Diceros bicornis minor: one gene and its partner. The protein of the gene in region 1 interacts with the protein of each later gene in a biochemical or structural test. Links are inferred from orthologs where the notes say so. Each region holds a gene or a part of one and is shown on either strand. Other genes may lie near its edges.

What was found. The genes of interacting proteins can lie anywhere in the genome.
Region 2: the proteins of MYO5B (region 1) and RAB11FIP2 form a complex in vitro, tested with the Homo sapiens proteins (2 studies listed by BioGRID). The link is inferred for Diceros bicornis minor from reciprocal best matches to the Homo sapiens genes MYO5B and RAB11FIP2.

Annotation. Positions count from the first base shown.
Region 1 is NC_080755.1:42,690,484-42,694,228, forward strand, and holds the start of MYO5B (unconventional myosin-Vb), read right to left. Parts: upstream 2,323-3,745; 5' UTR 1,905-2,322; coding exon 1,878-1,904; intron 1-1,877. UniProt on the Homo sapiens protein: May be involved in vesicular trafficking via its association with the CART complex. The CART complex is necessary for efficient transferrin receptor recycling but not for EGFR degradation.
Region 2 is NC_080745.1:81,038,991-81,042,735, forward strand, and holds the start of RAB11FIP2 (rab11 family-interacting protein 2), read right to left. Parts: upstream 2,894-3,745; 5' UTR 2,498-2,893; coding exon 2,145-2,497; intron 1-2,144. UniProt on the Homo sapiens protein: A Rab11 effector binding preferentially phosphatidylinositol 3,4,5-trisphosphate (PtdInsP3) and phosphatidic acid (PA) and acting in the regulation of the transport of vesicles from the endosomal recycling compartment (ERC) to the plasma membrane.

The DNA.
Region 1 (3,745 bases):
ACTCCCACTAATTCATCATTCCTAGTAATTAAGATGCAATGTACTCATTTCTAACTCAAAATCAAATTGAGTGTTTTCCCCTGAAAGAGTTCTGTCTTTAAAAGCAATCCAATATTAATTCTCGTTATTCAAAGTCAGGGCTTCAAAAATTAAGAGCTTATTCAATTGCCCAGGATTGTCACATAATACAACAATTAATTATGGTCTGATAAAGGGCTTTATGACACGTTGCAGGTGTAATCAGTTGAGTCACTCATCGCACTTGGGAGTACGAGTAGCATTTTCGTGCACTTCAATGTTACGAAGCTTCAGTGCTTTAAACTCTCCAGCACATGTTTTTCCCTGCCTCGCTGGTTTCCAGCCTCCGGGAGAAGTTCCTGCCTGATAAGCCGCTTCAGGAAGACACCTGAAAGCTGGAGCTCTGAGGGCTCTTCCCACGACTCCCAAGGGTAAACGGGGTGCGGTGCTTTTCCAAAGCCAGGAGTGCCAGAGATTTCACCCCCTGGCCGGCACCTACACCCTTTCCTCTCCTCTCCTCTCCCAGAATCTGTAGTCCATCCGTCACAGCTGCAGGGGACCTTAGCGGGGGCGGAGTGTGTGTCAGATGCAGCTGCGACCCCGCCCCCAGCCAGGTTACAGCCTCCACGGCCACCTCATGTCAGCCCATCTAAGCCTTGGTCCCCTCCAGGAGGAAGGAGGGATTAGAAAATTCCTCTAGGGAAAAGGAGTGGCCAGCCCGCCCAGCCGAAGGGCTCGACCACCCGCGGGAGCAGCTTCGAGCAATCGCCAGGTGAGCATGCGGAAGTAGCTCTTCCTCCCCCGCCCAGACCTATCGGCCCAGGCATAACACACCCACACCCACTCGCGTGCACGCATCACACACACACACACACACACACACACACACACACACACACACACCTCTGCACAGAGACGCGCGTACAAGGCACCGTCAAACCTGTCCCAGCCACAGAGAAGACGACCAGGCAGATGAGGAGTCGAGACATCCGAAACTTTTTTTTTTTTTTTAAGGGGAGGGGGAGGGGGCTTAAAGGCCCCTGCCCCCCTCATCCCTGGAGCCAAGGTGAAACCCGAGGCGGCCCCGGCGGCTGCAGCGCGACCGCAGGCGCTCGGGGAAGCGGCGGCTGGTCCCTAACTTGAACCACAGCGACTGCCGCGGAAGCGGGGCGTCTCCGCCCGGCCGCACCTGTTCCCGACTCTGAGGACGGAGCCTCGCACATCCATTCTGACCTTGAGGGCACCCCGAAAATCCACACTCCACCCCGGGTCAGCATTACTCCGATGCCCTCCCTACAACAGATGAAGTCCCCGGCAGGTACCCACCCAGAGGGGCCGCCTCAAAACGCCCATCGCCGGCAAATGATGAATGCGCTTCCCTGGGATCTCCAGAGCTCCCCGGAGCGCCCCTCGCTTTCCCCAGTGCTTACCTCCCCCCTCACACCAGGTTGGGTCCCCTTTTCTCTCCCCCCCTCAAGTGCAAGAACACCCTCCCCAAGTTCAGCGTTCCCCCTCGTCGGCACGCAGGAGGAAAGGAAGCCTCAGAGGGGCGCCCTCGCAAGCTCACGCCGCAGAGCACCTGGGGTGGGGTCCAGCAGCGAATGGAGGGGGCGGCGGCGCGCAGGGCGCCACCGCGGGGGGCTGTCCCCACGCACCCGGCTCGGAGGTGGCGGGGACACCCCCGCGGTTCTGGGTCAGTGCGGGGCGCTCCTGGAACAACCAAACTTTCTCCGCCACCCGAAGTTCGGGGCGTGAGGAGGCGGCGAGGGGGAGTCGGAGCAGCACCTGCCGGCGCCGCAGGAGAAGGCGCCCCCGAGGGCCGCCGTGGCCCGAGCGCGCCGCGCGCAGCCCGCACTCACCTGGCTGTAGAGCTCGCTGACCGACATGACCCCGCGGGCCGGGCCTGGCCCGGGGCGCCGTGCCTGGCGGGCGGCACTCGCTCGTGCGCCGGGGGGCGGCGGGTCCGGGCTCCTCGCTGCCCCGGCGGCTCTCAGTCCCCGGCCGGCCCGCCTGGCGCCATCTTCCTGGGCTGCCCGGGAGTTTCTGTGTTTCTTGTCCTTTCCCCCCGACCTGCCCCGCCGGCTTCCTGGAGGCGCCGGGGCCGGCTCGCTCTCTGCCGGCGCGACCTTTACTCCCGCCGCGGCGGCGTAGCTGCGGCCGGGCCGGAGTTGCGGGCGGGGTGGGGGTGGGGGGGGGGGGAGGAGGCCGCGCGGCGCCGCTCCCCGCGCAGGTGTGGGAGGAGGTGCGGGAGCCAGGGAGGGGGAGAGGGCGGCGCTCGTCGGAGCTGGCAGCCGGGGCGCCGTCGCCGCCGCCTTTGAGCCCTGCGGGGCCGGGCTGGACGCTCCCTCCCGCGCCCCCGCCGCAGCGGGGTCCTTGGGGCCGGGGGCGGGGCCGGGCGAGGAGCCGGTGCCGGCCGCCCCCTGCTGGACGCCGGGCGCGCGCTGGGACAGGTGCGCCCCGGGGGCCCACACCTGCCGCGCCGCGCTCTGCCTGCACGCGGTCTGTGCCCCTGGGAGGCTGGGCAGGGATGTAGTGGAGACAAGAGAAAAAAAGGAGGGAAAGTAAGCCGGGGGGTAGGGGGGATAAAAAGATGCCTGTGACTGAAAGGCTCCCATATATTTTCCTCTGGATTTTACGTGGCTGCGTTCAATATTTTCATGATTAAAATTCAGTTATATCGTAGATTGTTATTAAGGTGATTTGGGTATACCAAAGATTGTCTCCGCCAAACTGAGCTCCCTGCGCTGAAATCCTGATCAGAAAGGTGGGAGTTGTAACTCGTCACTTCGTTTGCCCGGTTCACCCACAGCTTCCAGCTAGGCTCCCAGCTACCTCCATCAGACTTTCATGCTTTGCCGGGGGTCTCACATTTTCTCCCCTCTCTCCCACATGCACACTCTCAGTCGCTCTGCCGCTCCCTGCCACGTTTATTTTTGTCCCCTCTGCTAGTGCCCCTTGGCTGTCTTCAGCAACTACAGTCCCTCTTCTACTTCCAGCAAAAAGTAGAAATTTCAGCCAAAAAGGAAAATAGCTGACAGGAGTTGGTGGAAGGAGAGGAGGGGACACGGCTTTGGTTTTCCGAAGGTGGCTTTTGTACGTGAATGAGGAATGGCATCTGAGGGTGGTCCTCAGCCAGTGTGTCTGTCTATACCTGCTGGAGGGATTGTCCTGGAGCCCCATTCCCTGGAAGGTGATTCTTAAAACTCATCCCATTTAAGACCTTCCCACCTGGAATGCAAGATCCCCATTTAATTCACCGTGGGACCCCTCTCAACTGTGCCTCCTCAATGAGGTTCACCTGGGGAGCTTTAACTGACCCAAGGAAGGGGCCCCACCCTCAAGAATTCTGGATGATTGGTGAAGGGTGGAAATTATCTGAATTTTTTAAGCTCCTCCATAGTCTAAAGGATTGTACTTCTGGGTTGACAAATGCAGTAACCAAAGCTTGGGCTACTCTCCTTGGATCTGAAATGGACTTCATCATGTCACTGTCAAGAGCAGAAAGGAAATGGTTCCATCATTTCTCACTCAAAAATCTCTGCATCCATTCCTTCCCTATATTCTAGTATTTCTCTAAGCATGGCCCTCAGGCTATCAGCATCACCTGGGAACTTATTAGATATACAAATTATCAGTCATCACCGCAGACTTACTGAATCCGCAACGCTGGGGGAGGGGCCCAGCACTCAATGTTTTCATACCTCGGTAGAGAATTCTCTGCTCTCCA
Region 2 (3,745 bases), on another chromosome or scaffold:
AGCCTTCATCACTCATACCAGTTTCTAAAAAGCACTTGGGAATATGCTGACAAGGTTCAGCTATGTGGAGAATATTAAATATCTTTCTTGCAATACACTGCCGGCTCAAGTCTGTCTCTTACTGTGCCACATGTACAGCTGTGCTGGAAAAGGAAGCTATTAAATATATTAAAAAACTAGGAATATTACCAATAAAGATATCTCATCAAATACGTGGTCCCCATTTATCCACAAAGAAAGAAAATGTTAGGGATTTAATAACATATGAAAACCACTTTGAATGCAATAAAAGCTCTGTTGATAACATTTAAAAGCATTTTCCCCCCAAAAGTTCTAACCAATTTTATATAGGAGCCCATAGAGAATTTCTGTAGGGAGACTACGATATTAGAGCATTGCTTACAGCCAAATTTATTGTAACTGTGATGCTACCAAAGATAAGGAGTAAAACAAGAAGAAACATTAAAAACTTATTTATTTCATCAGAATCTTTGGGTTCGCAGTTGGGCCTACTTTCACTTGGAAAATTTATATTTCAGAGAAGTCTTGTAATATATCATTCATTAACATGAAAAGTACTGTGAATGCAGTGTGAAATCTGAAGTTACAATATAAAGTTTACATTCAAAACACTTTATTATATAGGAAGTGTCATCTAACATTGGCAATTTGAAACAAATTATTTGGTAATTATCCATTTTTCATTTTAAAGTTGATGAAGAACTCCTCAGAGGAAACTGGATGCCACTTTGTAGGTACCAGTTTTATTAAAATCATCGATACATAGTCGACTTTACGTTTTTAAAAACTTTTCCTCTCCTTTTTTAAAAAATATTTTCATCTCCTCAATTACCTTAAATATTTATCATTTTTCCTCTTGCATTCCTGCTATTTCTTATTTTTCTACCCAACTATCATATATATATTAAGCCTTAGGTAAAGATCTGATTTAAAAAAATTTTTTAATAAAAACTCCAATCAAGAGAAGCTTGCTGGAAGCTATGTGGAGAAAAGAACAAGAGATGGTTGTTTTAAAATAAAAGACATTAAGATGAACTTCAAGAAAATTATCATTATGAACAAGTTTTTAAAAGGTTACATAAATTTTAGTTATGACTGAAATACCAAAGCTATTTTGGAAATTTCAAGTCCTCTTATAAATTCAACCCTATTTTTCTCTCTCATTAATTCCATCAATCTTAATGATCTCTCAGACTAGAAAAATTATAAGTTTAAGGAAGTTGCAAGTATACCCATCTCTGAAAACACACTATTTTTCAATTTAAGATATAATATTCTAGTGTTCATTTATATTATAGTTTTTTAAAATTAGCATATATCTATCTATCCTAAGCTTAAAGTCATATTTAAAAAGCCATGTTTTCATTGAAGATGTTATTAAATCATTTCATCACAAATTAACCATTGTCTCCAATCTGACAGCATTTAATATGGTCTAAACACACTAGACCTAATTCTGAAGTCACATAGTAGCTCCAATATATTGTAAATTCAAAGGAAAATGTTAGTGTGTTCAAGGCTAAGGATGTTTGTACATACTTTTAAAACTTACTTTCTTTTAACAGCTTTGGACTCCATCAAGATGTACTGCCCCTGAAAAATGGCTGAGCTAAAATAAAACCCAAGTATGTTTATAAGGATGAAATGGAACACAGAGTTCCAAATTTGGTAATTTATCTTTCGACAGCTTCAGAGTTCCACATATATATATGATGTTATATTGGCAGATTTAATTTTCTGATGTTCCATTTCCCGGAAAACTGTATGTTTAAAGATGATAATTTACATGTATGTTGTTTTCGTTGGTCAACACTGTGATCCAGTCCCCTTATAAGTAGTGAAACGATGTTAATTTACTTAAAATCCAGTGCAAAAAATTCAATTATTTAATATGTTTACTCAAACAAATAGAGTAATGGAGCATTAATGACTCCATTTATAAAATGTTTCTTCACAAGGGCTATTTTTACTTCAGATTCATGCAAATATGGTGCTTAAAACTGGGTCATATTTCAGTCCAAAAACCAACGCCCCAGGTATACAAATAATTTCCAAGAACAGAAAATCCATAAATAAGACAGAGTTAAGCTCCCCCAAAATTCAAAATAAATTACATAACTTACTCTGTTTTCCTTCTTTGTTTGTCCTCAAAGATGTCATTGAGATTGATTGCCACCTGCCCTAAAAACTTATCCAGACCCACCAGGGACCTGTGCATAACTATGAGGAAAAGAATGTATTTCTCTGGATTCCCCTGCATTAGCAAGCCAGGTAGCTCAAAAGAGGCCTCCTCCTTCCAGACCGGCTCAAGGGTTTTCTCAGCTACTGAGGTGGAGTACTTTTCCTTGCCCAGCTGAATTATAGTGTATGTGTCATTGGTGCCACTTTTGCCTTTTGGCTTAAGATCTTTGGCTTGGAGCACTGTGACCTGCACGTGGGTTGGAAACCACTTCTGGGCTTGCTCGGACAGCATCATGCTGTGCTGCTTCTCCGCAGCGAGTTCACAAGCGCAGGCAGTGCCCCTCCCGGTGGGGGGAGCCTAATTCCTTAAACCCTGCATCCTAAGGGCACTTAACAGAGACCGGCAAACTCACAGCTGCCCAACTTCCCGAGGGCCGATGTCAAATGGCCTCACCGGGGCAGCCCGGGGGCACGGCTGCTCTGGGGGTCCCCTTTCCTCTGGAGAAGCACAGGGGCCCAGCATCACCTGGCCGCGCCGTCCCGGCCTCCGCGCGGACGCCCGCGCCTCGCGTCTGCACCTTCAGGCTCCGCGGCCCCGGGGACGGGCCCTCGGCGGCGGCGGGCGGCTCCCGGGCCTGCGGGCAGGTGAGGCCTGGCCTCCAGGGCCGGGCGGAGGGCGGCGGAGGAGGGAGGGTGCCCCCGCCCTGCAGACTAGGGCCCGCCCGCCCAGATCCGCAGCCCCCGGCCTCGCGCCCGCCTCCTCGCGGCCGGGCCGCCCCCGCCGCGCCTCCCGCCCGCCCCGCGCGGGTCCGCGGGCCCGGCCCGGCTCCTCCTCCCGACCCCGGTAATACGAACCGCCGGCGGCTCGCGCGGCCTCGCTCCCTCTCGCAAACCTCTCCCTCCTCCTCCTCCCCTTCGCCTCGGCTCCTCCTCTCTGGCGGGGCGGGTCGCCTGGGCGTGGAGTGGGACGGGGGGCGGGGGACGCGGCCGCCCCGGCGCCGGCGGGCCGCGGGCCGGGCCGCGGACTGCAGGGCGGCGGGCACGGGCCCGGCCTCGCCGGGCCGGCGGTTCCTAGCACCGGGCGGGCGGCGGCAGCGGCACTTCCGGGTTGGCTTTCTCCATCTTGCTCTCGGGAACGCGACGGGGCGGGGCCCGCGGGGTCAGGGGTCAGCACCTCCCTGGTTGCCCTGGCGACCGAGGGCGCGCGGCGGGAGCTCCCCGCCCAGTGCTTGGTGCTCCTCGGGTGGCTTCGCGCCCGCTGCTCCGGCCTGGCGCAGCGCTGGGCTCTGGGGACGTGGAGGTCTGCACGGGCCGGCAGGGAGCTCTGGGGAGATCGGGGGACCGCTCCCGAGAGGAGGCAGTGAAGGCCCGGGGCCTGCCCCGTCTAGGGAGAGACCCAGTTTCAATCTTCGGAAGCTGTCTGCTGTACTCTGGATGCCCAGTGCCTGGCACGGAGCGGGCGTTGGACGAATGGCGGTGGAATGAATCAGTCCCCTTCGTTAACTGAAAACACACTTTCCCCAACCCCTTATCCACTCTTCTC